2 linked regions of the Notamacropus eugenii genome follow. The protein of the gene in region 1 purifies or fractionates together with the protein of each later gene. This does not show direct contact. Links are inferred from orthologs where the notes say so. Each region holds a gene or a part of one and is shown in the gene's direction. Other genes may lie near its edges.

Region 1 (16,234 bases):
TGTAAACTTCTCTTTTCTGGATATATGAATGCAATTTTGTGAGGAAAAGGGCCAAGTCAACAGTAACTGAAGACATTTTTTCTAGTTCAATTGGTTCCTGAAGTTAGACTAACAAGGATGGTGAAGAGGAGTGGGGTCATGGGGATTATATGTATATTCTTCCTTTGTTTCAAATATAGAGATGAAGCATTCTTATTGGTTGAACAGAGCAATAGATAACTTGAACAAATGAACCTAATATCCTTAAAATCAAATTCTTTAGGCCACTGCCTATTGAGGGAATTGTGGGAATTGAGTGAACCACACTGACTCCATCTTGTGACTCAGTTCTGAATCCATATCAGTTTCCTTTCTATTCAGTTGTGGATCTATTTCAATTTCTCTTTTGTGAGAAAACTTTTTTCAATTATGGGATAACTTTATTGTATTGTTTGAACCTAGCCCTGCCTGGCTGAGAAGCTAGACCACCTCTATCTGTTGCTTAGAGACCCTTAACTAAGGGCATAATATATGCTGACCAGAAACCTAGCCAGATCTGAAGACTGACACCAGGAGTTTTCTCACAATTATACATCTCAAGCAACTCATATGTCTTTTCTGAAAATTGGCACCATAGTGGGTAATCAGTTATTGTTTCCATGTTGTTTTGATTGAATATAGATACTTGTGGAGAATGGGACACCTCTTTTTCTGATTCCAGGGCAATGAACCCATTCATTCTCCCCCTCCTGACTTGGAAAGTCTCTAACCTGTCTTCCAATTAGAAATCAGATTACATAATTGTGTATCCTGACTGTTTTCTTTTAACTAATTGGTCTTATTTGATTAATTATTTTTAATGCATAAAAATCTGTCTCCTCCTGTATTTGGAGTCCAGCGTCAAAACTGAATAGGACTGAGCCCAATTTGTTATGCAATTGACCTGCGTTGTTTAATAAAGCTACATGCTCAGAAGCTCAAAACTTGGTTTCCTCAGTCATTTCATCCTTTACCCACCAACTAGTCTGTCTATGCTTAAACTCTCCTTTTCATTACAGAGAGAGGAAAAAAAATCTAATGTCAATCCTGTTTTTATCTGTTCTTTTATGTCCTTGTGAATTTCTTTTATTAAAAAATCTTGAAAAGGTTTTATCCATTACAGAAGGTTTATAGAATATACCATGTCATTTGACAATCATCATCAACAACAAAGATGTATTGAATACTTGCTAAGTACAAGGTGCTATATTATTAACTGTGGTCTGAGATTTGGTCCCATGGTTTAAAATTAAGCTCCTGGAAAGTGGTTAAAAATTGAATTTGAACCGTTTGCCAAAATGTCCCTTGATCTTTGCTTATAGGGTCTCCTAAAAGAAGCAGGACCATTGATTTTTCTAGCACTGAGTTGATACTTTTCTGATATAAGCCACAGTAGTAGTTGTCAAAGATCTTACTAGAGAACATCTACTTTCATTAAGCTCAAGAATAATAAAACCATTGGTGTCCCTCACTTTTAGCCCTCTTCTTCAGTAACCCCAATTTGAAGTTTTTCCCCTCTGCCTGAAAAAAATCATTCCTTCCTACCCAGGCCTTCCAACAATCCTGTTGTTCCTCTCATTCTTTGGAAGGAAAAAAAAATCAAAATTTAAAATTGGGTATAAAGAAGTAAACTTCCCATTGAATTCCCAAAAAACATTTTCTCTCATCATAAAATGGACATGTCAGTGAAAAGCCACAACACAGAATATCCTGACATGGACGTATTTTTGCTTCCCCAAGTAGAGTGCCTGACGTCGGCAAATGGCAAGACCCATCCTTTCATCTACCTCCCCCTAGGCCCTCTCCAGTACATCTGGCCTCATTAGAGTCCTAGACAAAATAGGGTATCAACCTGGCATTGTCAAGCTAGTTTTGCCCTCCTAAAATGCGAGGAAGAACTTCAACTGAGACCAAATTAATGCAATGATAACAGCTCACTAAAAGGTGAATTTTATTGAAAGGTATTTTACATAAGCACCAAAAAACCATTACAGGTCACCATTTCTGGAAAACTGTGATTAATGCTATGCAAGTCATGTACATACTCCCCTTCTCTCTGCCCTTATCTGGTTATAAATTTGGATTTTTGGACATCAGGTTTTATTCAACTAATATCCACAGGACCCCATTATTTTAAATAGCCAAATACAACAAAAAAACATAGTATTAAAGAAACGTAGTATAACCTCATGTAATGGAATCTGCTAATAAGGAATCAGTCCTTAGAATACTCTCAATATTTTCTATGGACAATCCACATGAAAGAGTAGTGAATCTGCTTCCAAAAATGCATTAAGGAAGAGCCCTTCCTCCCTTTTTTAAGGAGTGGGGACTGGCCCTCCCTGCTCAGCTATTTAGAACATGTGCAGGTATTTAGATATTCCCTGATTCTTTCCTACTGGCTTATTGCCATCATGCCAAAAAGACTTTTAATTTTGGTGATTGGGCTAGAAGTACATGTGCATACAAAAGTCTCAAAGGAATGGAACAGTTGTCTCTCATCTGGCACCTTTGAGTGAAGAGGAAGAATGGCTGTAGATCTCTGGCTGAGGAGGAGGGAACCTTCTCTCTTACTGGGCTGCCTTGAAGTTGTGAATGCATGCCACTGATATGTCTTGTCTCTGTTATGTTTATTCTTTCCTGAACTTAGGTGAATAAATATCAGAAATAGACCAGATCAGATATGACTTTGTGAGTTCAAAAGGCTGGAAGTGATACCAAAGGCCCAGCAACTGGAATTTGTGGCAGAGTCTGATAGTAGTTATGGCATACAAGGCTCAATGGTGAATTAATCTGGCAGTCAAGGAACTACATCTTGAAAGCAAAGAAGTGACTTATGAACTGGTTATACCAGACCCAGAGGTGAACTCACTGTGGTAAATGTTTGGTGTTCACCACTATGTCTGACTCCCCTCTATCAGATGACTGAGTGGATACATAAAGAGGAGGGTATATCCCTGAGTTGAGGGAGCAAGTAGTCATTTTATACTTCTGACTTTGCTATGCTTTCTCAGTAAATATCTCTTTGTAAAAGCTAATTGATGTTAATTGATATTGAGGAGAGACCAGTTGATTAAACTGATATTGGGTATATATTAACTGATGATTGATATTGGGGGAATAGCTCGAATGGGGATGGGGTGAATTCAAGAATGATCATATTACAAAGACACACCCAACCCTTCAAGGTTATATATCTAGAACTCAAACACATTATACAACATAGATAATGTTAATTTGTGGTTTTCTAGGTCAATAAGTTGCCCACAGAGACCTGTTTCTATTTGAGTTAAACAGCACTGGGATAGATTATCTCTAAGGCTCCTTCCTCTTTGGATGTTCTATGTTTTATGACACCATAAATCTCTAGTGATACTTTAAATCTCCTACAATAGAGATTCTGAAGAGTCAAATTTACATAATGAAATGTTTACATAAATACAATACATTTAAATATAGATTATACTTTGTGCTATATGGTTTGATGTATTGTGTTTGAGGAAGAGGACATGGAGAGATCTTACTATGCAAGCTGATGATGCAAAGCTGTTGAGACAAACTACTACTACATTATGAGCTCTGAGGGAGTCAGCTCTGTCTTATTTAATATTTTCATTTCCATTAGAACTTTTAACACAAAGCTCAAACCTTATTATTAAGTAGGGATAGCCACGAACTGGACTTGTGATTTCATGGGTTATAGGAAACTCCTGAATGAGGAAACTCTGTGTACCAATGTAGGTTGGCACATTCTCTCCATCTTATGGGTTTAGGGAGAGACCTAAAATATTGAGGGTTGCAGTGACTTGCACAAGGTCATATAGTTTATTTGTGTCAGAGGCAAGTCTTAAACTGCCATCTATATGGCCTCAAGACCATCTCTCTAGCTGCTAAACTATGTTACCATTCTATCTATTACTAAGTACACACTTAATAAATCTTTATTGAAGTTGGAATCAGAGATCAACATACAGAGTCAGCATATTTGAAGCTGGACTAAAGTTGTACTAACTAAATAACTTCCCCTCTTTCTATCCTATCTAGCAACATGCATTGGACAGTGAACTTTTGCAAAACCCTCTCATACTACCAACTTCCCAAAGGTGTTGTGGATCAAATGAGAATATATTCGAAGTGTCTTAGAAAATTCCAATGGGCTATACAAGTCTATTTCAAATGACATTTTCCTGACTAACATTAATGCTGTTAAGACATTATAACCAAAGGCCATTGTAAGTATGGGATGAAAATTGAATGGTCAGTGACTATGAAATATTAACACTGTGTTTTCATTTTAATTAATCCTTAAGATGAGTTATGACTGCATGCTTAGCTATCACTTCTTATAGCATCACTTTACTTCCTGTAAAATATCATTTTAGCTACTGATAGGCTTAGTCCAAGCACAAATTATAAAGCAGACAAATTTTGTCTATCACTAACTTTTCCTCTCTATATTTTTCCTCTGCCTCTCTCTACATCTCACAGGAAGCTCATTGCTGTCATACTAACTTGGTCCCTCCTGATTAAAATACCTGATAAACTAATTTATATTATAGTGTTAATAACAATGCATGGCCTCTCCCATAGTTATTTGCATTTTAAAAGGGGCTGCCAGAAAAAGGGAATTTTTAAGCCAAAGGAATGTATCTATAATGGCAGAATTCCTGGTGCTGTTGCACATAAATGGGGAAAGTATGGGCTCAAGGGAAATAAAGCTAGAGAGAATCTTAGAACCAATTAAAACAAGGAAACGTATTAGAAAACATTTGAATCTTCTGTGTTTCCCAAAATATGTAATACAATTATTGATTTAGGACTAGAATTAAGACAGTCTGGAACAATACCCTCGGTTTATGAGCAGCCCGAGGCCCAGAGAGGTCAAAATGACTTGTTCAAAGGTACTAAGGTAGCAAATAGCAAAGCCTGGAATGAAACTCAAGTTGTCTGATTCAAAGTCCCTGTGTTTTTTCCTTTCTACTACAACAAGCCCTTACCTATAAGTTACAAGAATCACAAATTTCAGAGTTAAAAGGGACTTCAGAGGCTATGCAATCCAACTCATACCTGCATGATAATCTCTTCTATAACATGTCCAAGAAGTAGTCATTCAGTCTTTATTTGTAGACTTCCAGTATGGGTAAATCCACTCATTCTCAAGGCAGCCCATTCCACTTTTGGAGAGCTATAATTGTGAGGAAGTTTTTCAATATATCAAACTAAGTTGCCTTTTCACAGCTTCTATTCTTTCTCCCAGTTCTGCCAAGCCAAACAAGTTTAATCTCTTATTTGGACAACAGCCCTTCAAATGGCTGAAAACAGCTATCATATCTACCCTTAGGCTTCTCTTATCAAGAATAATTTAATCTTCACAGGGATTGATCTAGAGGTCATTTACCATCTCAATCACCCTCCTGTGGAACCAGCCTAGTAATTTCCCTTCTAAAATGTGCCACCCACAAGGGAACACAATAACCCAAAAGGAGTCTGACTAGGGCAAAGTATAGGACTACCTACCATCTCCCTCGTCCTGGATATTATTCTCCTTTTGAACACAACGTAAGATTATATTAGCTTTCTTGGCTATTATATTGTACTGTTAATTCATGATGAGTTTGCAGTCCACTAAGATCTCCATATCTTTTTCAGGTCAGCTACTCTTCATCCACGCATACTTTATCCAGAAAATCTGGACTTGATTGTTTTTAAGCCAAGTATAAGATTATGACATTCAAGTTCAAGAGACATAGTTTCTGGGTAATTAATCATTTTATTAATCATCCTAGAATATAATTAATAAAAGGGTCAGTGGCACTCTGGAATGCTTCATGGACCCCTCATGGAACCCACTCAATGCTTATATATCCTTGGAAGGAAGGTTAGGTGCTCCTGATGGTGGCAATCAACTCTGATTGGTTAACAAGTAATGAAAGAATGGATATAATAATGAAAGGGGGGCTTATTCTAATAAGGGTCTGGGGGACATGACTGATCACTCAATCTTGGTCAAAGAGACTTATCTATACCCATATCACCCAGTCCAGGGTAGTCTAGATGAAAGGAGAAATCCACTTTTATCCAGACCTGTCTAACACAATGGACCAGAATCCATCAATTCATTTAAAGTAAAATTTCTTTACTGTTTGTTATCTGTTCTTTTGAACAGATCTGAGTTTACCCTCTCATTATCAGCCCTGCAATTCAAAGGCCCCCTGAATAACCTACAAAAACTGATTTCTGAATGAGCAAGTAGGAAAGGGGAAAACGCTTAGTGCTAATTAAATAATTGGTTCTTATTATAGAAGGAAAATAATCATTTCTCTCAAGACTTTTACACTTATCCCTACTAATTTTCATTTTATTAGGTTCTATCCTAAAACGCTAAACTGTAGAGGGGTTTTTTTTGGAATGCTAATACTGTCATTCAGTGTGTTAGCTTGTATGCAAATTGGATAAACATGTTACCTATGTCTTTATCTCAGTCATTGATATGACTGTTAAACAGCAAAGAGCCAAGCTCAAATTCCTGGAGCACTCAACTACATGCCTCCTTAAAAGTTGATTTTAAATCATTAAATGAATGACCTTTCAGTCTAGCCATTCAATCAGTACCAAATCCACCTAACAAACCTCCAGCTTTCTCCCTCCCTTCCTTTCTCCAGGGTTAAAATGCACGAGTGACTTGCTCAAATGTTTTGCTAAAATCTAGGTTAAGTTGTACCTAAATAAATGAAATCTAAATGAGCACTCCACCAATAAAGCAGTCTAAAACTTCTGTCAAAAATGGAAATGAGAATATTATGACAATGCTCATTTTCAGTGAAATCATTCTGGGTCTCTCATCACTATTTCCTTTTCAGCACATTCAATAACCATTCTTTTAATGATTCATTATGGCAATTTGCCAGGAATAAAGGTCAACTTCATTGGCCGGTAGCCTGCAAATTCTACTCTCCTTTAAAACAAAAATTGGGACATTTTCCCTTTTCAAAAATCTGTGGAATCTCTCCAGTTCTCCACAATCTTTCAAAGATTCTTCAAACCGTCAGTTTTCAATACTATCTAGGATATAGTTCATCTTGGACAACTCAGTAAGGACAAATAGGTACTTGGATCTCTTCATCTGCCTACTTGTCTTGAGTACCAACTCATGACTGGCCATTCTTGGTCATTATTATCAAATGATACAACGTAAGTGAAGCATTTCAAGAACGGACTCTGGAGTCGGAGGATTTGAGTTCAGATCCCGCATTGGTTGCTTATTAGTGACCTGTGTGTGCCATTTGATCACCCTGGGGTCCTCCTTTTCCTCATTTGTAAACAAAGGGGTTGGATTGGATGACTTCTGGGATCGCTTTCAGATCTAGATCTGCGATCCTGTGATCTCACTTTGCATATAAATGTCAGTGCTTATTATTGTTCTTATGGTGTACTTTCCAGTTCACAGATTATTCTTTTTGACAGAAAACCGTAGGAGAGACAGACAGAGAAGGGGGAGGGAGACAGAGACAGAGAGACAGAGACGGAGGGAGTCAGAGACAGAGAGACAGAGACAGAGAGAGTCAGAGACAGAAAGAGACAGAGAGACAGAGAGAGCTCTGCCTTTTTTCCCTTACATACTAAGATCAGTCCTGCCTAAAGAAAACGGGGTGGTTGGTATTCTTGGGAATTCTTTTGGGGGGGGGGTCCAATTTTCAAATGGCAAAACCTCTAAAATCCCTTTCATTTTAAAAAAGTCATAAGAGCGGACAAACCGGATTTTGAAATTTGTGCGACATCTCACAAGTGCCCCCGTTTCGCTGTATTTAGAAATGCCCGGTCAGGCTGGACCCGGCCCGGCCCGGCGCGACAAGGAGCGGCGCCGGATCAGTCCTTGGGCCCGGTCCGCGCTCGGACCACGTGAGAGGCCGCTTCGCTGACGGCCCAGGCGAGGTAACACGGACACGGCGCTAAAGCGCGGCTTCCAATCATCCAGAGCTAACGAGGTGTGAGGACTGCGTGTGTACGTGTGTGTCAGACCGGGCGGGTCGGAAAGCTGGAGGGTGCAGCGAAGGGGGAAGAGAAGCCGTGGGGGGCTCCGGAGCGCCTCCCCTCGCGTCACCTCGGCCGATCCCGGGCTTGGGGGCTCGGGGGCTCAAGCTTCGCGCGGCCGTCCAGACGACCCTCGCTCGTTATCCCACTTTGGATCAAAATAATAGGGACGAGGTCTCCCTGAAAGACTGAGGGAAGGGACGTCGGGAGGGCCACGCGCGAGCTGCAGGGGCTCGAGGAGGCTGCGGCGGGAGCGCGCGCGGGCCCCTCTTCCCCCTTCCCCTCATCCCGTCTAAGCCCCACTCCCCCGCCCGAGACACGCCGGGATCGCGGGCGTGCGGCCGTGGCCGCGGCGGCCCATCGGCTCTCGAGGTTCCCCCAGCCGCCTCCCCGGAGCCCCGCCCCGCCCCGCCCCGCCCCCTTTCTCGGCTCTGGAGGCTCCTCGGCGGGCCGGGCCGAGGCGAGGCCGGGGCCCGGGCTGGGGCGAGGCGAGGGCGGGGCGGGCCCGAGAGCGGAGCCGAAGCTCGGGAGGCGGCGGCGGGCGGCGGCAGCGACGGCGACTGTGGGCTGGTCCGTCCTCTCACACATTTCCACTCCCGCACGCACGCACGCGCACACCCGCACACCCACACGCCCCCCTGGACTCTCGGCGCTCCCGGAGGCGAGCGGGAGTATCGGGTCGCGGGCGCTGCCGCGGCGGAGAGCAGCCGGCTCGGGTTTCTCTCCCGGCTTGGAGCGGACCAGGAGGAGGAACTGGAGCCGGAGCCACCGAGGTACGGATGGGGGCGCCCTGTGCCTGCGGCCGACCCCGGGGCCCGAGGCCGGGGAGGCAGGCGGGGCCCGCCCAGCAGCCCCCCGAGGAGGGGGGAAGCATGGGCAGGAGCGCGGGACGACTGCTCCCCCCTCCCCTCCCCCCGCGCGCTCAATGTCAAGGTCTGGGACGGGAGGGTCAAGGGCTCGCGAGCCCCCCCAACCCCACCCCGCGCCCCGCTCGGGGAAAAGTGACTCCCGGGGCGTGAGGAAGGGGCCTGCCCAGGTTGGGGGGTGGGGGTGGGGGTGGGGGTGGAGAGACTTCCAGGCAACCAGTCGGTAAACATTGTCAAACTAATCCTCCGGTGTGCCTAGCGCTGTGTGGCGCCCTGGGGATAAAAGTAAAATTGATTGACATGAAATAAAACGTTAAACGTTCAAAGCTCCCTTTCCCCGGGGACAGACGAGGCAACGGGAATACGCGGAGATCCCCCCGCCGCACTCTGCCTCGCGCCGTGCCGTGCCCTCCTGGGGAACTTGCTCATCAGAAAAGCCCGGCGGGGCAGCCAGTGCCAGCGGTCTGGAAGAACTGACTTGTCAGAGACTCCTGCCCCTCCCCCTCCCCCTGGGCTTGGCCAAACAAGGCTGTGTCACAAACCTCATTTTATGAGAACATGTTTTGACCCCTGGCGATTCCGAGGATGACTCGCTGAAACCGAGTTAAACGGTGCTCCTGCTCGGGGCAGTTGGCCCTGGCTCCGGACAGCCTGGAGAGTTGTGCTAGTGTGGGATGGGCCATCGCACCGGCCGTGGTGGGACAGAAAGCCCGGTTTAATGCGCTGCGCTCACAGCTCAGACTTCATTGACATGCCACATGCAGCTTTCAGTTTGGAGAGCACTCGATGTAAACCAGCTGGCCCGGGGCTTTGTCTTAGCCTGGAATCTCAATTCAATGTGCTTTTTCTGTGGTTAGTCAGAGTACTGGGACATTCTAGTTCTTCAGGAGAAAGGGCTTGTAAAAGGAAAGGAAATTGTCAGTGATCAGATTCTCCAATTAAGGGTGTCTTTAAAATGTGGTGTTTCTTCAGATTATAATTAGTATTGAAACTCAAAATACATAATTGTAAAAGGTGGACCATATCCGTCACCTCACTTTGTAAAGTGCCCATACAAGTTCTGTCATTCTTGGCTACGACAATCCTGAAATCCTCCATAGTTCATTGTTCTCAGGTCCTGTTTTCTTGAAACTCAATGTTATGAACCTATAAATTGTGGTATTTGGTCAGATCCATGGTCTGTTGAACCTTGGGGGTTTTTTGTGTCAGAGGAAAATATTGTGGAAGGAGATATACGCGGAAGGGAAAGTAAGTCTTTTCTGATGACAGCCTCAGATCTTAAGCCTGCTTAAAAGTTTTTGGAACACAAACTCCACCACTAGTACTGTCACGTTAGAATGATGACCAAGATTATTGTCCCGTAGTGGTGATCTCACATCTTAAATAGGTGAAGTTTTAAACAGTCTTGAGCAGGTTATGTTACTGGCCCCTGATGGACAGTGCTGCCATTTTGCTGGTTAGGGAGCAGGTAGTCAAGTGCCTACTGTGTGTTAAGTACTGTGTATATGAAAAATGAAAATAAAACAGTCTTTGCTTTGAGTAAGCTCTTATTCTGTAAGAGGAAACAACATATACATGTGGGTAAGTACAAAATATGTGCAAAGTAATTTTAAAGTCGTTTATTAAGTGCCCACCTTTGTGCTAGGCACTAGGGGTTGCAAGAAAAAAAAGACTGCCCCAATGGACTTACATTCTATGAGGAAACAAAAAGTATTTGTAAGTAAGTACAACATACATACAAAACAGTTTATGAGAAGAGGGGACAATAGCAGCTTGGGAAATCAAGGAAGGCTTCCAGTCTTCAAGTAAATAGCACTTTGAGCTGGTTGAAATCAAAGGATTATGCTTGTGGGTTGAATTTATAAGAGTTGCTGTAATAGTAAACTGAGTGCTTCTTTCTCTCAGGCCTAGGCTATCTGCTGAACTTCCTTGGCCTTAAAGGGGCCTCATTTGTATAAAAAATTATGTAATTAATCTTCCTAGGGGTCAGTTTATAGGACAAGTAGGTTCACTAGCACTGTACTCCAACTTAGAATTTGGCTGCTACAAAATCATGTCCATGCTTGTGATGCAAAATGCCATCCATATCCAGAGAAAGAACTATGGAGTCAGAACGGAGAATGAAGCAGACTATTTTCTCTTTTGTTATGTTTGGTTTTGTTTAGTTTTTTCGTGCCTTCTCCCATTCGTTTTAATTTTTATATGCAACATGACTAATGTGAAAATGTGTTTAATAGGAATGTATGTGTAGAGCCCATATAAGATTGGGAGGGAGGGAGAGAAAATTTAAAACTTGTGGAAGTGATTGTTGAAAATTGAAAACAAATCAATAAATAAATTTGGGGGAAAAAACGAAATCATGTCCATGGCTAGTTTTAAGACATTCACTTAAGTGGTTAAAGGACATTTCAGGATTCCAGACACTTCCTAGGATCAGGACGTTTGTAAACCTGTATATACAGTGAAAGTAGGGCAAAGATCTGTTTGACTCCAGAGGTCCACTGTAATATCTGATACTTAGAGAGCCAACTTTTCAGGAGCATTGTCAATGGGGAGAAATTCAGAATGAACTCTTTGTCATACTTTGTTACTGGGTGGTACAGTGGTATATGTAGTAAGGAATGGTACTCACCTACACGTCAGTAACAAGGGAGGCCAAAGAATTTTTTAATTGTTTCGTTTGTGATTCGTTCCAAAGGGACCAGCACTCTTGGGCTGGCCCAGGTTCACAAGTAGGAGTCATTCTCAGCTCTACTCTCCTGTCTTATATCCAATCAGTTGCCCCTTCAATAACTCTGTTCTTACCACAGCCTCCTTAGTTCAGGCCTTCACCACTCTCCCCTGGACTATAACAATAGCCTCCTAATCTTTTCCCTATATCCAGTCTTTCTCTTTTCCAGTCCATCCCCCAGAGTTGCCAAATTGATTATTCTAAAGCACAGGTTTGACTGAATCATTCTCCTGCTCAAGAAACTTTACTCTCTACGTTTCCAAACTGTGCTTCCCCCACCCCGCCCCACAGCCCCCATCTTCAGAATGACATTAAAACTCTTCTGTTTAGTATTTAAAGCCCTTCACAATCTGGCTATTTTTTTCAGGCTTGTTACAATTACTCTTCTCACCCCCACATACTCTGTACTCCAGCCAAACTAGCCTACTTGCTGCTTCTGGTATGTGACATGATGTAACTAACATTCCATTTCCTTCCCCCAGGCCTTTGTACAGGCTTTCTCTCATGCCTGGAATGCTCTTTCTCTTCAGCTTCACCTCTTGGAACCCCAGACTCCCTTCTTGGCTTAAGTGCTGCTTCTTTTCTAATTCCTTCAGATGTTAGTCCCAATTCCAAGTCACTTATTATTTTACGTATCTCTTGCATTTCATTATCTGTGGATATATTGTGTCTACCCAATAGAATATAACTTCACTAAGGAAATCGACTTGCCTTTGTGACACACAGTTGACACATAAATGACGGTACTTGGATGAGTTCTTAGACCATATGCTGCCAAAGGTCATTAAGTTATTGTCCAGATACATCATGATATGATGTCATAGTTCAGAGTCTAAACACTTCATTCATAAAGTATTCAAAGTCAAAGGAGGTATTAGAACAAATGATAATTCTGTATTTAAAGTCAATAGATCAATACTATTTTTCATTCATTATCCTCCAAATTATAGACTAAAGTACATGTTCTCCATCTCCCAGAGAGGTAATTTTATTTTTACAGTAGCTAGTGTAATCTAAAAGACTCAAGGTAGTATAATGAAGAAAATAGTGATAGAGTCGTAGAATCATAACATTGAAAGGGACCAAAGAAATTGTTGCATCCAACTGTTTCATTTTATATATGGGTAAATTGAGTTACAGAGGTTAAGTGATTTTTTTCCAAATTAGTAAAGTGTCAGAGCTAAGACTACAATCTAGGTCTTCTATCTAAAAGATAAAAAAATCTTTTTTACTTTCTTTTTGTTTAAATGAAGAGCCCTAGAACCTTAGCCAGTGATTTAAGGTGATTGAATGAGTCCTTCAAATTCTTAGTGTTGAAATCACAATGTGCCGTTCTTTCTAGTCTATGTAATGGGCATATCTGTTCCACCAAGATCTATCACCTTCCATCAGTCCTGTATTTAACTGATGGAGTAGCTATGCACTTGCCTTTATTAAGCTGAAAATTATTGATAGTATTGTTATTTTTCTGGAGGGATGTATTAAAAGTCATTGAGTAAAGGAAAACATACTGGATTGAGAGTCAGGAGATCTAGATTCTAAATTCTGACTCCATCATTAATTAGCTGTGTGACCCTTAAGTAAATTGCTTAACTTTTCTGAGCTTCAGCTTCTGCTTCTGTGAAATAAATGGCTGGTTGATTGCCTCTTCATGTCCCCTTTCACCCCAGAGCCAGTTTACACCCTCATCACCCCTGTAGTCCCCTGCTTGCTTTGGGCATTTACTTCTGTAAATATAATGTTTGCAATGTATTTTGCAAGTGGGGAGAATAAAGAACTATAGACACCAGAGCATTATAAGTAATTTAGACTGTGTAAGCATTGGGCACAATACTGCGAAGTGTATTAATTATGATGATGTCATTAATTTATATTCCATGAAAAGTTATATTTTAATCACTTAAATTTACAATTTTATCTCTCAGAATGATAGATGTTATGCTACTACTGTATTTCTAAGTTGAAAATATTTTTTAAGAAGTGTAAATAAATACATACATTCACTAGGGTGGTGGGAGAAGAGAGGCAAACTTTTCAAACCTTGCCCAGGGCACTAAATGCCAGCACTCACTTCTAGTCACCTCTAGTCAATCTCTTCATTTTCTTCTACTCAAACTTGCTTTTTCATAAATCTTCATAAGGAAATGAATTGTCTTTTGTAAACTTTGAGGGTGATCTGTATGTCCAAGATGAATTGTTCTGAGACTGAAACCAGTAACTGGTTTCATTTATGTCTTTATATCCCTTGCTCTTAGCACAGTACCTTTATACATAGTAGTCATGTAACAAACACTTGTTGGATGAGTTCGGAATTCTCAATCAGATATCAGTAAACCTCTTTTGTGTCCAAGTGAGCTGTCCAGATAAAGCACAGCTGTACATATAGTCCTAGGCTACCTCAACATAAAGAATAAAAGAAGCTCTCAAGCATTGTGCTCAAAGACTTTTCTTTTGTAAAAAATTCTTATTCTCATGAATTCTTCTATCTTAACTAATCCATATTCCTAACCTTGCCTTAGATAATTCCTAAAACTGTTCAGACCATGATCCTGAGTTCACACTCTCTTGATTTTGTATTTTCCTCCACTCAGTCAACAACTAAGATGTGGATCACTGACTCAACCTATAGCCAACAGTACTGTTACCCAAGAACCTATCACTAGATATCAACGTTCCTAATTACTTTTAGAAGGAGGATGCCATGATGAAGGTATAGGCATTGCCTACTGTAGGACAAGACTGTCTTATAGGGAGAGCACTTTTGGATAAAGGAAAATGATAAACAAGAATATAAACTCTTTGAGGAAAAGGTCTGTTTTGGTTTTTTTCTTTGTATCCCTTGGACCTAAGTGCTTTGCATATGGAAGCCACTTAATAAATGTTTGTTGTTGAATAAACAAATACATTACTATCTGAACTACAGCTGGCTGTGAATGCAACTCCATTAGACTGAATAGTTCCCGAGAGAATCTTCTCCTCTCCCCTCATGCAAATAAATTCTTAATCAGTCTTTTGGAGAAATTTCATGAGGTCCTGCAGTTGTTGCCTAGTTTTATAATGAAAAACTAATTATAACTACAACTGAGACCCAAAGATTTCTTCATAGTGTTTTTGTTTGCTTAGAAGAAACTAGTTTACTAAAAGACAGTGGTACTCGGTAGACAAACATCAATTCAGTTAAAGGCTGTTTGTAAACATTAAAATATTGTATATGTGTGAATTATCAGTCACTTCTTGAACATCTTATGGGAATTTATTAGCTAAACAATCTTATTCTTGTCAGCTTTTGAATAGGAGCTTCCCAGCAGGAAATTCATCTTCTTACCTTGCTACCTAGGGCCTAGATCCAGCTATTTGCCTAGCAACTTCAGGGAGAGTAGACTCTACCCAAGTGTAATCCAGAAGACCCCAGAAGAAAAGAAACACTGATAATACTTTAATTTCTTCCATTGGTATGTACAGAACAAATACTACTGTTCCATGTAATCAGAAATATCTGGAGGAGAGGGAGGGGGAAGTCATCAGTACCACCATGGAAGGGACCCTTAGGACTGGCCTTGAGAATCAAGAACTCTCCCCCACATCCACCCCAAAGACATATCCTGTTGTCACATACAACTAATGTTGATGGTGCATCTCTTCCGGAAGAACATTCTGGGTCTATATCATACTTGGCTGGTGCCTTGAGCAATTTTATTACTCAGTCAACAAAAACTTAAGTGCTTCCTGTGTGGCAAGAGCTATGCGAAGAGCTGGGAATACGAAGAAAAGGCAAAAACACTCCCTGCCCTCAGAAACCTACATTCTAATGATGAAGACAATGTATAGGAAATATAGAGTAGAAGAAGGGTTGTCTTAGAGGGGAAAGTATATATACAAAATACATCCAGAATAGAAGGAAGGTTACCATGGAAGGGAAGGCACTAGTATCTGGGGGGAACCACAGAAGGTGGCTTATTGATGATTCTTGAAGGAAGCCATGGATTCTGGAGGTAAGAAGAGAGAGCATTCTAGACACAGGAGAAAATGGCTGCAAAGACTTAGAGATAGGAGATGGAAATCAACTAAGCCACATGATCCAAAACATATCAGTGAAACCTCTCCCCTTAAATCTTCTGTACCACTCCTCCCCCTTCATCTCATCCAAGGACTTTCTTAGTTTATTCAGAAAACAGAAATCTTCTGTGGCAAGCTCCTTTTCCCTACTAAACTTAACCTTAAAATCCTTCTTCATTCTTCATTCTCTTCTCATATGCTACTGTCTCTGACAAAGAAGTAAGTAGCTCTTCTCCTTCCAAAGCCAAATCTGTCACTTTTATCTTTGGTCCTCCCAGCTCCTTCCAGAGCTTTTCCCTTTTCAATACTTTCTCCCATTAGTAATCTCTTATTTTCCACTGGCTTTTCCCCATCATCCCAAAATATGCCCAGTTCTTAAAAAAAAAAAAAAAAGCAAAAACTTTACTTAGCTCTATCATTCTTTCAAGCTATCATACAAAAATTTCTCCCTTTCATAGTTAGGCTTCTAGAAAGGGGCCATCACATTCATTACCTCTTATATTTAGCCACTCACTTCTCAATCCCTGATAAC
Region 2 (16,449 bases), about 310 Mb from region 1:
TCTGAGTGCTTGAAGGCAGGGCAGTCCCAAAGAGGGACAGAACCTGGGTTCAGACCCTCATTCTTCCTGGCCTCAGCCTGGCCAGACCTTCTTGGTAGACACCAAGCAGTGCCTCCCCATTCCCCATCTGAGGGCTTCCTAATCTGGGACATAGTTACGGTCTGGGCACAGAGATGGACATCAACCTCAGGGTGAGGGTAGCATCTTAGAAGGAGTTCCCTGCCCCTTTGTGAGAGGCCTGCACGTTCATCCATTCGGTCATTGGACAAATGTTTGGTGCTTCTCCCCTTCAGTCCCCGCTCCCTGAAGAATCCCCAGGGCTCTCTTCTTTAGCTGAGGTCTACTTTTCTAACATCCAGTCTGTGAATCTGTTCCTTAGGCTACAGGATCTCAAGGCACCTATGTAGAGTTGCCTGGGATTGGTCAAAGGATTACAAGGTTTAGAGACATAGAGGACCTCAGGATGATCTAGTCCAAGACCCTAATTTTACAGAGCAGTAAACTGAGAACCCATAGAAGGCTTGTCCAAGGTCACACAGCTAGTCAGTAAGAGATTTGGGATTACAACCAACATTCTTTCTAATATGTCACTTGGAACTTAGTCAAGGCCAGTCAGCAAGGACCTTATCAGGTACTATGTGACACTGACCAACCTTGTTACTGTAAAGATGATGAAAGTGAGTCCCAGATTGGAAAAGGCCCAAGCTTATGGTCAACCAGTACATCACAGAGTTGACTCAGATCCACTGTTTCCCAGTCTCAACCAAGGGGTCTTCTTGGACAGAGTCTACCTCTTAATTCCAGAATCTTAAAATTACTGTCATTAAAATAACAAGGGTTCTGTATGCAGGGAGTGAGGAGAGGATGCTTGACAGACAAATTAATAAGAATTTATCCTTGGCTTATCAGTCAACCACATTTGTGCTCCTCTAACTGGAAGGGCTGGCAGAAGACCCAGCCCCAACCTCTAGACCAGGGGTAGGGAACCTATGGCTTCGAGGTCACATATGGCCCTCTAGGTCCTCAAGTGTGGGCCTTTGACTGAGTCCAAATTTTACAGAACAAATCCTTTTCTAAAGGGGATTTGTTCTGGGAAGTTTGAATTCAGTCAAAGGGCCGCACTTGAGGACCTAGAGGGCTACATGTGGTCTTGAGACTGCAGGGTCCCCACCCCTGGTCCAGAAAATCTATCTGGTCAGGCAACAGCAGAATTGGAATCAGAGCAGTTACTCAGTCAGTCAACAAGCATTTAGTACATGCTCACTACGTGCCTAGATAAGTTCTGGGGATGCAAAGGAATACAAAAACATGGTCTCTACCTCAAGGAGACTGGGTCAGGCATCAAAGACACCAAGGTCATCTGCTGTGTCCTGGCCATTGCTAGTCATTCTGCCACTGGACTTTGAGGACTCTAGAAGAGAGACTAAGGCTGAGGAATTTGTGCAGCTCTGCCTCACCTCAATCCCATTCATGCACAAGTCAAGACATTACCCCAGAAGTTCCCTTCGAAAACAAAGGGCACATAGTAACAATGAACATTCCAGTGGGGGAGACAACATGAAAATAAGTACATATATCCAGGTGACATACAAAGTGGATGCAAGTTCACCAGCAAAGGGTCCATCTTTTACAAGAGGCCTTTCCTGCTCCCCCATTACCAATGCCTAGAGCTAAATCTAGAGGTAGAGGGACAGTAGTATTTCAGGCATGAGGCACAGTCAGTACCATGGCCAAGGGACTAGAGATGCAGTATTGTGTATGAGAAAAATAAGGAGGCTGGGTGCAGTTGGGGCATAGAACAAGAAGATGGCGGTCAGTGTAGGAAAACCAGAGAGAGAGGAAAGGCTCAGCTTACGTAGAGCTGCAGGTGCTAACCAGGTGGCTTTATACTTAATCCTGGAGGTAAATGGGAGACATTTAAAAAGTTCGAGAGACATAGTTTCTGGGTAGTTTAATTATTTTATGAATAACACCAGCATGCTTATTAATAAAAGGTCAATGACACCCTTGAATGCTAAACACAGTGGGCTCACAGTTTATACACCATTGAAAGATCATTCCTGAGAGGGGTGATCAGCTGTGATTGGTTAACAATTAATGAGAGAATGAATATTATAATGGGACCTGGGCTATAGTACAGTGAGGGTTTTGGGGGACATGACTTGGATCACCCAAGTCTTGGTCAAAGAGACTTAACAATTCCCATACCTGTCTGACAAAAGAGAGGATCCACATTTTCCCAGACCTGTCTGAGCAAACATAATGAGCTGGAATCCTCTCATTGACCCAAACTTAGAATATCTTTTACTTTCTGATTAGATCTTGGCCTGGGTAAACCTTTGGGAAAGTTTCCCACATTGGATGATTTCTGGATGAAGAAATAAAAATTTTGATTCTGATTCAATAATTAGTTATTAATACAAGAGAGAAATCATCATTTCTCACAGGAGTTACTGGTATTCAGTGTGTGTATATGTGTATGGATGCATGCACATGTAAGCGTGTGCACTTGTGCAGGTGGGTGATGGTGACAAAGTCTGGAATACCTGACTCTAGGTAGACGATTGTGTAATGAGACAAGAGGGGCATCAATGCTGTCCTTGATTGGAGTACCAATACTGTACCTTAGATGGATACTCTTTCTATACTATGGTTGAGTAAACTTCTTTTAAGGTTATGGAATCTAAGAGTGTTTTATTTTATTCCAATCTTGAATCTGAACCTGGTCTCAGCCAGGCCTGGCCCAGAACACTGAGGGACCTTGGGCAAACCACTCTCTCTTTGGTCCCAATTGAAAAGATTACTGGTTTCAACTCTGGGTGATGGAGCTAGACAGAAGGAAGGAGGGAGGGACAACAAGTATTATTGGATGCTTGATGGGGAAGGATTTCTTCCCCATGGGGCAGTGCATTTGTGCCTGTGGGAGGGTGAGAGTCTCCATTCTTTGAGAATCCTCCAGAACAGAAATTGGTGGTCCTCCCTTCTCTTTACACACCCATCTGACCAAGGCCAGATTTTTTGAAGAGGTCTTAGAAGGAATGAGAATTCTAGGGATCTAAGGGTCCTGAGTTCAAGACTTCTATAGTTTTATGGTTTGGGCTTCAAAAATAACAGAGTTTATTACTTTGAGGTTCTGTGATCCCAAATTCTAAGTATTCATTCACTAAATAACCTTTCATTAAATGCCAACTGAGTGCCAAATGCCTCTTGTTTATGATTATTCTCCATTTGTGTCTTATTTTTTCGGGAGGGTTAGGGAGAGGTAAATAGCAAAAAGAAAAGGAGGAGACCTTCATAACAATAAAAAATTTTTCATAGCAAAGCAGCGATGCTGGTCCCAGTCTGCATTTTATATCTCTCCCCTCTCTGGCAGAAAGTGAGTCGCAAGAATACAGAGACGCACCGCACAAGAAATATCTTAACATCTCCAATAACTATGATGGGGTGGTTACTGATCTAGAGGTAGACATCCTGGAGGGTGAAGTCCAGTGGGCCTCAGGAAGCATTGCTAGTAGTGAGGCTGGTGGAGGGGATGGAATGCCAGCTGAGCTATTTAAAATCCTGAAAGGTGATGCTGGTAAAGCGCTGCACTCCAGAGGCCAGCAAATTCGGAAAACTCAGCAGCGGTCACTGGATTGGAAAAGATCACTTTATGTTCCAATCCTAAATAAAGATAACACCAAGGACTGCTCAAATTACTGAAGAAATGGACTCACTTCACCTACTGGAAAGGTCATACTTAAGATTCTGCAGGCTAGGCTTCGGGAATATGTGAATTAAGAATTATCAGAAGAGTAGGATGGTCCTCAAAGAGGCGTGCTGGATTATGGAGAAAGCAAGGGAGTCTCAGAGAAACCTCTACTTCTGCCTCATTGACTACACTGAAACCTTTGTGTGAATCACAACAAAATGTGGCAAGTCCTCAAGGAAACTGGAGTACCAGATCATTGTACTTGTCTCCTGAGGAAGCTGTATGCAGGTCAAGAATTAACAGTTAGAAATGAACATGAGATAACTGATTGATTTAAGATTCACAAAGGAATAAGACAAGGCTGCACACGTCACCTTGTTTATTTAACTTAGATGCAGAGTAGATCATGGGAAATCCCAGACTGGATGACTTCAAAGCTGGATTTAAGGATGCCGAGAGAAATATGAACAATCTCAGATGTGCAGATGATACCACTCTGATGGGAGAAAGTGAAGAAAAACCAAGAAGCCTCTTGATGAGGGAGAAAGAGGAGAGTGCAAAAGCTGGCTTAAAGCTTAACATAGAAAAACCAAAAACGCAAACCAACTAAGATTTTGGCAACTGATCCCATCACTTCCTGGCAAAGAGAGGAAGAAGAAACGGAAGCAGTGTTGGATTTTATATTTCTGGACTCAAAGATCACTGTAGATGCTGACTGCAGCCATGAAATTAAAAGACATTTGCTCCTTGGAAGGAAAGCTATGGCAAATCTGGACAGCGTACTAAAAAGGGAGACATCGCCATGCTGACAAAGGTCCGTATAGTCAGAGCTATAGTTTTTCCAGAAGTAATGTATGGCTGTGAGAGCTGGACTATAAGGAAAGCTGAGCACTGCAGAATCAACACTTTTGAAAGCTGGTGCTGGAGAGGACTTTTGAGTGTCCCTTGGATAATAAGGAGATCAAATCAGTTAAAACTTAAAGAAATTGATTCAGGCTTTTTTAGTTTGGCCACATAATGAGAAGATGGAACTCAAGGGGAAAAGACACTGATGATGGGAAAGACTGAAGGCAAAAGGAGAAGGGGACAGCAGAGGATGAAATGGGTAGACGGTGTCATGGAAGCAAAGAACATGAGCTTGGACAGACTTTGGGATACAGTGGAGGATAGAATGACCTCCATAGGGGCCATGGGGTCACAAAGAGTTGGATAGGACTGAACAACTACAATAAATACAAGAAGGAAAAGTCAAGGTAATCAGATTAAAATTTATTTAGCCCTTTCAGGTTTGCAACACTGCAAGCTTAGGACGAGAGGAGTCTGAGAACCTGGTCATGCCCTCAAAAGAAACACTGAGGTTAGAAAGAGCAGACTGAGAGGGAGATCTAGCTCGAGGTTCTATGGAGGTGCACAGGGGATGTCCTGTAACCAGGGCCAGGCCTATTCCATTTCACCTCAGGCTTCCAGGGCAACCCTGAGGCTTAAGTCCCCTCAGGCTGTTATTCCCTCTGTTGTTAGGGAGTTCGTATCTAACATCCCAGTTCCTTTGAACAATTTAACACAGGCTTTTGCAAAGGGAATTTTTTATTTTTGCTTCAAAGGTACAGTAAGAAGAAATTGTGAAATTGAAAATTGATTTTAATTCTATTATTATAGTTTATCAAATTAGATTTAATATTCCCCTTTGAAAGTTTCACTCAGGTAACTTCAAGTCACCTGAGTTACAATTCTTATCTTGTAACTTGTATCTTTACCCTTATAACTTCACATACCACCCACATGGTGGGAAAAGAACAGGCTTAAACTAAATTGTAGACTATTTCCATCTCTCTAGGTGGGGTTGTCATATCTTTGCCTGGTGATCTTGGGAGTGGAGGGGGGGCGGTGTTTATAAAGAGAGATCCAAGAGATGGTATTTTCAAACTGAGGTTAGGGGTTTTGACTTTCTGGCTTTTCAGAATAAGACTCTTCTGCAGCTTGAAATTTTGTTCAGGAATCTTGTTCGTTGCTATAAAATACCTTGTCATGCTTTAGCCTCACTGGCCTTCTGGAGGTCACCACTGACCCACTTTGTTAGTAGACACTCTTGAAATTCTATATTGTGGCCTGCCAAGCCCTCCGGGACAGACACTTCCCTACATCACCTTGTTCTCTGAGAGAGAAGGCTCAAATCTTAGTTGGGGGCCTCCTTGGCTCTGGGCCCACTAAGTTACTGTCCAGAGTGCTGGATGAATTCTCTCACAGTTCATTACCCCAAATCTCTCCTTGCTCCTGGGGTAACTGATGGGGCTGGTGGCCTCATCTGGCCTGGATTGTGACTCTCATAATCCGAATGCTTGCTGCCCCTAAATGAGTGGGAAACTCTGCTTCCCAGACCTAGAACAGAAAGGAACAAAGAAAAAGGCCCAGAGACCAAGGCTGGTGTCTTGGGGCCCTATGACCACCACACTCCCCATGTTGTGAATAAAGCAAGTGGAGGTGGTTGGAGCTTGCTGGGGCCTGCCTTTTGGAAATGCCAGCACGTCTGAAGAAGGCTCTCCTTGGCCTTGTGATCTGGTTAGTCAGTGGGAACCAGTCACAGAATGACCATGCATGATCTGGTCCCTACCCCCCCCACCAGAGCTCCCTCATACATGTCTTCACTGTTTTCCCAGAAAGATCCTCATTTCTCAGGTTCTCCACGTTGCATCAACTGAGTAAGTTGAAGAAATCTGGGCACATACATACCAGACAACCATCACAGCAGTCAGAGACAGGGCACAGAGGGCTGGACAGACAGATTTAACGATCGGAGTGCACAGACATTTGCCACATATCTACTGTGTGCCAGGCACTGTGCTTGGTCAATGTACAGAGGTGATAACAGAAATCACAGGAATGATGGAGAAGGCAGAGAATATGGAGAGACTTGCTCCAAGGACAGACCCATTGGGAAGCTCCAGACTTGGGGAATTTGAGGCTGGTGATGAGCCAGCCAAGGAGACAGAGGCACAGTGCTCAGAGGGGCAGAACTGTCAGGGAGGAGCATAAGAGGAGTTTTAGGGGATGGGATCCAGAAGAAGAGGGAGCTTCCTGCGTGTAGCAATGCTGCAGAGAAGTTGACAAGAAGGACGAGGAATGACTTCAGAAGGAAGCATTTTCAGTGGGCTGAGTGGAAGTCAGATTGTAAGGGCATAGAGACTGGTGCATTTCTAGTCTGTCTGCACTTGTACAAACACTTCTCCCTTTCCCTGAGTGATACAACCTTGCTTCCCCTGATTCCTAGAATCAAGGATTAGTTTTTCTAAAAGGCAACTAAATGGCCCCTAGCAGCTGTTTGGCCCTTCCTCCCTACTCAGTTTCCTAGGTACCCAAGGGCATAGAAAATCCTGTCCAAGTGGAGCCAGGACCTTCTGAATCTGTAGGTTTCTGAAATCATCATAGCCTGCCTTGACCACCAAATGTGTTTCCATATGGAGATAAGTGGGGCTGAGTCCAAAGAAGTCAATCTTCTTGTTGCTTATCCTTTCTGGTTATAGCAAAGGAAACCTCCTTTGGTCAACTGTTCAATGACTTGTAAGTGTCTCATTTAGTCCCACTCTTGAACGTGAACTATAGGTGTTGGCATTAGGCTTTCCCTAGCACTCTGACAGAATGTCAGCCCCTGTGAGAGCAGGGAACATTTGATTTTTGTTTTTGAATCACTAGTGGCTAGCACAGTGCCTGGCATATTTTAGAGGCCTGATAAATGCTTGATGTTTGATGGACAGTAAGGAAGGGCAGGCAGTGGAGTACAGATGACTCTTTCTAGCAGTCTGGTTATGACAAAGAGGGGATGGATGGAAGTGGAAAGGTTTGTAGGTTGAGGAAGACTTACACCTATACACAGGCCGAGGAAGAGAAGGCAGGGTACAGGAAGAGATTGACGAGAACAAGGACCTAGGGGAATATGGAAAGATAGGAGGAAAGGATAGTTGGAAAGGTCAGTGTGAATGAAGGAGAAGATGACATCATGGAATCATAGAATATCACAGGGAATTTAGAACCCAGAATGTTAGGCTGAGAGAGCCCTTGGAACATGGGATGTCAGGGCTGGGGCAAAACTCAGCATGTAGGAGGTCAAAGCTGGGAGGAACCTTAGAAGGTTGTCTCCCAAATAAAATCTTAAATTCTCAATCCTGGCACTGAGAGCCTCCCACAATCCAGCCTACCTGTCCAGTCTTCTCTCTCACCATTCCCTTCACACAGAGCACCTTTCCCCTGAGCCAGGCTGCCTACCTCCACTCTCACCTGCCCATGATCCTTTGCTCATGCTCTCCATTATGCCTGGCATAGCCACTCCCCTTCCCCCACACCTGCTGAACACCTTATCTTCTTTCAAACCCCAGCTCAGGGACCACCTTCTCCAAAAAACAACAGGAAAACCCACTGAGTTTGGAGTCAGATCCTGGTGCTTCCACTGATTCACTGTATGGCCTTGGAAGAATCATTTCATGTCTCTGGCCTCTGTTTCCTTATCTGAAAGAAGAAAGGGCTGAACTAGAAGACCTCCAAGATTCCCTTAAAGCTCCAAATCTAGGCTCTTACGATGAGATGATAGTCATCTAGGAGGAGCAGCAGACAGAGCACCAAGCCTGGAGTTGGGAAAATCTGAGTTCAAATCCAGCCTCAGACACTTACTAGCTGTGTGGTCCTGGGCAAGTCACTTCACCCTGTTTGTCTCAGTCTCCCCATCTGTAAAAGGGAGAAGAAAATGCAAACCCCATCCAGTATCTCTGCCAAGAAAACCTCAAATGGGGTCACCAAGAGTTGGACAAGACTGAATGACTGAACAACAAATGACGAGTTGGTTTCTTAGGTCTCACCTCACTCCAGGTCTAGGATTCTATCCAAGCAGAAACATGGGACCTGAGCAGAGAGGGGTTGGCACTCTGGTAGAATGTGGGACTTGGCCTTAGGAAGACCCATATTGGAATCCTGCCACAGACACTGTGGCTGTGTGACCCTGGGCAAGTCCCTTTCTGTCTCTGAGTCTCATCTGTAATGAGAAGGGGTCCTGTTCTGTAAACAGGAAGCTTTGACACCTTTGCTAACAGAAAATGGCCCTGAGAGTTTGAGGACTCCCTGTACCACTGCCATTAATTAAGGTGGCCATGGGCTTGACAGTCTACGCTCGATTCAGGCTCTGACAGCTGGAAGGGACCCGGGAAGCCAGCAGGTCCAACACCTCCTTCTTCTGCCCCAGTATCACACTTTCTCGTGTCCATAGGCTAGCCCTTCTGGCTAGCTTCTGGAAGCTTCTTGAGGCCCCGTTCTTGGGGAAGCCAGCAGGTCCAACACCTCCTTCCTCTGCCCCAGTATCATACTTTCTCGTGTCCATAGGCTGCCCTTCTGGCTAGCTCCTGGAAGCTTCCTGAGGCCCTGTTCTTTGACCCACTTTCTTTGCTTCTTTTGTATTCAGCAGTCACTCAGTAAATGCTCTGAGGGCCAGAGCTGAGATGAACCTTCGGGTCTCTCTAGTCCGTTTTACAGAGGGGAAAACCCAGGGAGGGCTTTTGACCGGGGATGCCCAGAGAACTAGGGGCACAGGCAGGATTCGAACCCAGGCACAGGGTTCCTTCCATTACAACACGCTGCCTTTGACAACTGAGGGTATACTCCGTGAAATCACGAAGCTCGACTCCTTAGGGCTCAGGTGTAATCAGATTAAGTGATCTCTAAACGCCCTTCCCGCTCTGACGTCAGCTTCCTGGGAGAAGCCAGACACGCCCATGCCGAGGTTCTGCACCTGGCAGCGCGGACCAGGGGGAGAAGCAGGGTGGGAGCGCGCATTCTCAGTCCCCGAAGATGACGTCATCGCACCGCTCCAAGAGCCCGGCCTCCTCTAGGCCGAGTCTCGTCACCGTCCGTCACCTCCTATTGGCAGGATGTGCTGCAGTCGGTCTGTCGCTAGGGGCGATGACCAATGAAATTTTGGAGATCGATTAGGAGGAGGCGGGCCCACTTCGGTTGCTAGGATGCCAGTGGCAGCAGCCCGCCCCTTCTTCCTCCGCCCCTCTACGGGAAGTGGGCCAGCTAGAGAGAAGGCCCCTTTCTCCCCTGGCCAATAGAGGATAGGGGGCGTGTCCCTGTCTACTCGGGCCAATGGGCGCGCGGTGCCTCGTGCGGACTGGCCAATGGAAGCCCAGAAACCCCTGCAAAGTCGCTTGGGAGACCCCCCCCCCCTTCTGCTTGTGTCTCTGCCCCTCCCCCGCCCCGCCCCGTCCCACTCCCTTCCTTTCCCTTCCCTTCCCTCAGCTCGGCTCGGCTGCCGAAGCCTGACGGGAGCGGGACGGAGCCAAGATGGCGGCGGCCGACGGCGATGACTCGCTCTATCCCATCGCAGTACTCATCGACGAGCTCCGTAACGAGGACGTCCAGGTCAGGGCCGGGATCGGGGCCCGGGGGTCCTGGGGTTGCGGGCGGCGCGGGCGGCTGGCTCGGCGTTCTTGGCATCTGAGGGCTGGGGGTGGGGGGAGGGAAAGCGGACCAATCAGCGCCCGCGTCGCTTGTCTCGCGCCTCCGTGGCTCGCTGAGACAGCATCTCTGATTGGACAGCGGTGCCGCTGGGGAGGGGGCGCCCGGCCCGGGGACCCCAGGCCAAGCGGGTCTGTCAGGGGGCGGGAGCGCGGGCGCGGGGGCTGCCTCCGGAACCCCTGATTGGCTGGCACTCCTGGTTCTCACGGCGCGCAGGGGGCCACCTAATTGGTTCGCGGCGAGCAAAGAGCCTCTCGATTCGCTCTGGGCACGGACGGAAAGCGGGGACCCCCCAGTGGGTTAAGGCAGGGGAGCGGCCCCTGCAAGGGGCGGGGCTTAGCTCCTCCGAGGTTCCTAATTGGTGGCTTGGGGATTAAATCCCCAGCTGGGTCCAGGCCTCTCGAGGGAGCCTAGGCCGTGGTGCTTTTGGGGCCCCCCCCATTTCTCCATCTTGATTCTCCCCCAACCCCTCTTCAAGCCTATGACCCTCTGGGTAGAGAAAGTACCCTCCGGGGGTGATGCTGAACGGCGAGCCGAGCCAATCGCCGAGGAGAGCCCGCCCCCTTGGCGGCTTTCCATTGGACAGAGCCAGGCCGAGGCTCGGAGGCCCAGGTTGGGCTCCCGGCCCCTCTGCTCCCTCCGCGGGGTCTGGGGCCGGGTGGGACCCGGACCCGGGCCTCTGGGGGCTGGGCGTAGTGCAGTCGGACGTCTGTTTGTGCCCGTGACTCTGACTGACCACTGCATGACCTTGGGGAAGTCACAGCCCCTCCCTGGGCCTCAGTTTCCCTGTTTGTACAACGGGGAAGAATCTCCAATCCAGAACAACCTTCCCTTAGGGTCCTCCTCCTGCTGAGGCTGCGGGGCCGCCCCCTCCCCCCAGGGGGGCTCCTGCCCTAGTGTGGGGAGAACTAAAGCACGATAGTATGCTGTGTGCCCGAGGGGGAAAGAAGGGGGGGGGTGTCGGGGAAGGCCTCTTGGAGGAGGTGGGACGGACTCGATGGTGGGAATTCTGTGGGTCAAGAAGAGCGAGGTCGTTCTAGGCATAGGTTGCAAAGGCGTGGAGGTGGGAGAGTAGAGAGAATTTACCGGGAATGGACCGCTTTGTGGAGGCTTGAGGGAATAAAGGGGAATAACGTGAGGGAAGCTAGAAGGGCAGTCAGTGTGGGGCCTGACTCGGGAGGGTCTGAAATAACCACAAGCTTTTCAGCTCAGGAGTGCCATGGAATCTGGATGTCAATTAGGAGGATGAACCTGGGAGGCCACCCCACGAAGGATGGCTTACAGTGGGGAACACTGGGAGCAGAGGGTCTTTGGATAGTTCCTCCCTCTGCCCCTCAGCCTTGCCAGCCCAAAGAGTTATGGAAAAGGTCTCACCCAGGGTCATGTCGTTAGCTCCTAAGTAGCGGAACAGTAACTGGAATCCAAGTCTTCAGACTCCAGTTTCCAGGGCTGTTCCCTAAAGCTGAGCCATGAAGCAGTCTTTCACTTGGTTAGCAACCTTTCCTAGCTTTCCCACAGGCCAAGAGGATCTGATTTAGGGTTTTTAACCTATTAGAGCCATGTAGTTGATATAGTGAAAGCACCAGTTTTGGAATTAGAGGTCGTGTCCACATCCCAGCTCTTATTTAATTTTTCCCTCCTGACTTTGAACAAGTCGCTCAACATCCTTGAGTTTTGTTTCTTCTCCAAAATGAAAGATTTGGATTAGATGATCCCTAAGATACTACCTCTCCCTCTTCCTGTTTTAAATCCTGTGATCTCTTCAATCACATCATCAATTAATAAACATTTACTAAATGCCTGCTATGTGCCAGGAACTGGGCTAAGCTTTGGAGATACAAAAAGAGGCAAAAGACAGTGCCTGCTCTTAAGGAGTTTACAGTCTCTTTCCAGTTCCCTTATATACTTCGCCTGTCCCCACCAGCCAGGCTAGATGGACCATTCCTTCTGCTTGGAGTGGCCTTACTTCCTTCCCTTTACCATTCTAGATCTGTTGAAGTGCTCCCCATGCTTTGTGTTTTTACAAGCTCAACTTCAAAGTCATCTTTTCCAGGAAGCCTGCTCTGGTCACTTTAGCTGGAAGTGATCTGTTCTTTCTCCAAAACCGTGTTTGACCTCATGCTTCTCTCTATCTTAGGCATTTAGAGAGTTTGTTTTCCATTATAATTGTTGGCTTTTTAATTTGCCACCTAGATAGTACTCTGAGGTTAGAATCTAGGTCTTAATGGTTTTAAGAATGGTAGATATGGTACTAGACATGGGCTTAGGAAGACCTGAGCTCAAATCCTCTTTCAAATACTTACTAGCTGTGTGATCTTGGGCAAGTCACTTGACTTCTGAGACCTTCAGTTTCCTCATCTTTGAAATGAGGTGGTTGGGCTTGGTGTCTCTAAGTCCTTCCAGCCCTAAATTTGTGATTTATTAGATGCCTACTATGTGCCAAGCACTGGGAAAACAAAAAGAGGCAAAAGTCAGTCCCTGCGCACACAGAGTTTAAAATCTAATGGGGAAGATGACATCTAAGCAGTTATACACAAAGCAAGCTATGTACAGGCTAAATAGGATATAATTAACAGAGGGAAAGCATTACTCTTCCCAATAGTAGATTTTTTTTTCATGGCACTCCTGAGCTCAAAAGCCTTCAATGACTTCCTGCAGCCCAAAGACCAAGGTTCAAACTCTTCTGGTTATTTAAGGCCTTCCCTGCTAGACCACATCCTACCCTTCTAGCCAATCTCCTATTACTTCTCTTTATGTACCCTTAGGCCCTGGCCAAAGTGGTCACCCTCACTCACCATCTTCTCTTGACAGCCTATGCTCTCCCACCTTTCTATCTTTGCAGCTGATGCCTGGAATGATATGGTTTTGCTTGATTTCAGTCTTGGAGAACATTTGCGGAGTCGAATGGGAATGAAATGCCTTTTGTAAACCTTAAAGCTCTCCACCAGTGCCAGGGAGCATTGTTACCATGGTGCTGGGGGTGCGGGGGGATCTTGGAAGGGAAATAGGCTGGAAGCCAGTTATTCATTTATTCAGTGGTTTCCCCATCTGCAAGGTCAGGGGAGTGTGCATGGTTTGTGAAGGCCCTCCCAGCTCTGATCTAAAGGCTTGTGTGGCTAAGCCCTGTGCTCCTGAGACACTGATGAATAACAGTCTTGTCCTCAGAGACTATATGCTCATCTGGAGAGATGAGTCACTCATGGGAGAGAGAGTTAATTCCCATTTGCCAAAGACTTCCTGGAAGTGGTGGCCAGCAGGTAATAGCTTTGTTAATCTCCTTCCACAGGAAAGGATAAAATGTGGCTCGTAGATGGGACTGCTTTTACTATCAGCGGGGGCTCCTAAGAGATCTTCCTGCTTCTAGCCTCTTCCCCTCTCAAATCCAGACTTTATGGGCTGCTAGATTAATTTTTCTAATGCATAGATTTGTTTGTTCTGTTTTTTGGTTAAGGAAAATGAGGCAACTGAATTGTTACATGGAAATAGTTTAGAAGAGAGGCCTTTAAAGGGACCTTAGAAATCACCTGGCCAAGTTTTCTGCCCTCTTTGCCCAGTGTTTTCCCTTTCTTCACAATCTCTTTCGCATGTTATAGGCGTAAATAAGCAGGGGGAGAGAGGGGGGAGGTTAGGGGTGTCAAGTGTTGGCAGCGATTTTCATTCTCTTCCCTCTGCTCTCATCAAGAGTTAGCTCGGTAAGCAGACCATCATTAAGGGAGTCCTTTGTTCAGGTCACCGAGCTGAGCGCCACAGTGTAGTAGACCTTGTGTAGCCCTTGCCTTCAAGGACAGCCTATGTTTAGGAGGGGAATGGAATGTGTATATGATGAAAGCAAACATTTTGCAGTGCTGTTTTGGTGCAGTGTTTTATATCCATGATCTCATTTGACCTTTTGGACAGCTCTTTGCGTGTTTTAATGTTGATAAAGCACTTTTCCTGTGGTAGCCCTATGACCTAGATAGACTAAGTATTATTGTGGCCATTTTACAGAAGAGGAAACTGAGGTTCAGAGAGGAATTGACTCTCCCAGGGTCACAGAGCTAGAATGTTTTGGAGCCTGCACTTGAAGTGGGAGCACTTTCCCTGAATTGATACCAAGCCATGTATGTCATTTAAGTGGTTCAGAGCAGCCACAAGCATTTATTAAATATCTACCCTGTGCAACAAACCATGCTCATCCCCAGAAATTAAGGCCTGTAGGTCTTGTGAGGAAGGCGGGAGTGTGTTCAGTATGTCATGGAGTTCAGGGTCCTCTTCTTAGTGGTGCTTGACCAGAGCCTTGAAGGCTTGGGTTTCTGTGTTTGTGTTTGGAGAAACGTGAGAAGTTGGATCAGTGACAGAAATGGGGCAGGAGTGATTTCAGGGCATTTCATAGGACAGATCATCGTGGGAGCTGGGGGAGCAAAAGCTAGAGGTAGAACCCTAGGAGTACTCAGTCAGGAGGACCCACAGAACACAGAACCTCAGAATTGGCAAGGCTCATAGAATATGGAACCTCAGAGCTGGAGGCCCATAGAACATGGAACCTCAGAGCTGGAGGCCCACAGAACATGGAACCTCAGAGTTGGCAGGCCCATAGAACATGGAACCTCAGAGCTGGGAGGGTCCATAGAAAATGGAATCTCAGAGTTGGGAGGGCCTTTTAACCAATGAACATGGAATGGTTAGAACCCTAGTCTCCTGATTCCAGCCTTATACTCTTTGTACAGGTTGCGGCTGGGGCCAGATTGGGGATCTTTCTGTGTTCCTCATGCTAAATGTTTGTTGCCTGAAAGCTCCTCCTCCCCAGGCACCCTTGGCAGACCAAGAAGATTGGTGGGAACAGGCCAGGCTGCTGAGTGGTCTACTTTCCCAGGCCCTTGGTTATTAACTTCTGCTTTCCTCTGTAGCTCCGGCTCAACAGTATCAAGAAGCTGTCCACCATTGCCCTGGCCCTTGGTGTGGAGAGGACCCGGAGTGAACTCCTTCCATTCCTTACAGGTAAGGAATACTGCACAGACAGCTGTGACCTTCTGGGCGTTGGGTGCTGAGGAAAAGGCTGATGAGGGGAAGGAACCCACTGATACATGATGAGGTGGCTGTTTGGGAAGGGGATGGTGGGACTTTATCCAGGGCTGGGACATTCTGGGTGCCAAGAGAGCAGCCTCTGTAGTCCTCCACTAGACTAGGCAGATCAATGACTTGCCAAAGACTGGTGTATCTGATTGTCTGCAAGCTCTTTGACTGTATCCAGCTTTCCTTTGGGTTATAGAGGAGATGGGGCATGCTCTGGGTTGGGTGGGTTTGACTGACTGAGCCAGAAGACCATTTGAGTAGTGATGGATTGGTGTCAGCATGGAAGGAGACTCGGGGCAGGCCTGGGGCCCTGCCCTGGGCACCAACATCATGAAGGACTTGGATGAAGGCATAGATTTGTGGATGGCATTGTAGCTAGTCAGGAATAAAGACATAGTGGATGTCCAAATTAGAATCTCCTCCAATTTCTAGATCTAACAAGAAGCTGTTTAATGGGGATGAATTGGAAACCCTACCCTTTGGGTTCTGTTTTCCAAGGTTGGAATGGGATAGAAGTGCTAGGACAGCTATTCCCGTGAGGCAGACCCAGAGGTCCTAGTGGGCTGCAAGCTCACTGTCAGTGATTTGGCAGGTGACCTCCATCATCAGTACCTCCCAGGCATCTTCTTGCTTTAGTCTGTGTGGGTGCTCTCTGGTGATGCAGAGCATGGCTCCATCACATCTCAGAAAAACCATCTTGGAGCGTCTGTGTCTGAACATTGCACCATCCCTTGGTGGCCACTATTCTGTTGGTGTGTATCTCTGGCTGAAATGGGTGTGGAGAGAGGCACGAAGTCCCTTGCTGGCTCAGTAGGACCTGTCAGTGCTTGCTCTTTGCTGGAAGAATCCTGGAGAGGGCACTTACCTTTGTGCCCTCAGAGGCATTTGGGGAGGACTTTAGTAAAAGGGATGTAATCTTCACTTGTACAAATAGAAATATGGTATCCACATGGCAGGCAGGAGGTGTGGTGGATAGAGCACCATGAGGACCTGAGTTCAAATACAGTTTTAGACTCTTACCAGCTGGGTGACCCTGGGCAAGTCCATTTCTCCCTGTTTGCCTCAGTTTCCTCATCTGTAAAATGAGCTGGAGAAGGAAATGGCAAACCGCTCCAGCATGTCTGCTGAGAAAACCCCAAATAGGGTCACAGAGAGTCAGAAGCAGCTGAAATAACAACAACGAGAACAAAATCCATGGGGTGGTGGTCCTC

Evidence for each region.
Region 2: the proteins of PPP2R3A (region 1) and PPP2R1A purify together in Homo sapiens (affinity purification with mass spectrometry; 6 studies listed by BioGRID and IntAct, counting the BioPlex papers as one, with this or other methods). This does not show direct contact. The link is inferred for Notamacropus eugenii from reciprocal best matches to the Homo sapiens genes PPP2R3A and PPP2R1A.

What each region holds. Positions count from the first base shown.
Region 1 is NC_092876.1:331,683,181-331,699,414, reverse strand, and holds the start of PPP2R3A (serine/threonine-protein phosphatase 2A regulatory subunit B'' subunit alpha), read left to right. Parts: upstream 1-8,531; 5' UTR 8,532-8,822; intron 8,823-16,234. UniProt on the Homo sapiens protein: The B regulatory subunit might modulate substrate selectivity and catalytic activity, and might also direct the localization of the catalytic enzyme to a particular subcellular compartment.
Region 2 is NC_092876.1:25,188,041-25,204,489, reverse strand, and holds the start of PPP2R1A (serine/threonine-protein phosphatase 2A 65 kDa regulatory subunit A alpha isoform), read left to right. Parts: upstream 1-9,897; 5' UTR 9,898-10,012; coding exon 10,013-10,090; intron 10,091-15,072; coding exon 15,073-15,163; intron 15,164-16,449. UniProt on the Homo sapiens protein: The PR65 subunit of protein phosphatase 2A serves as a scaffolding molecule to coordinate the assembly of the catalytic subunit and a variable regulatory B subunit.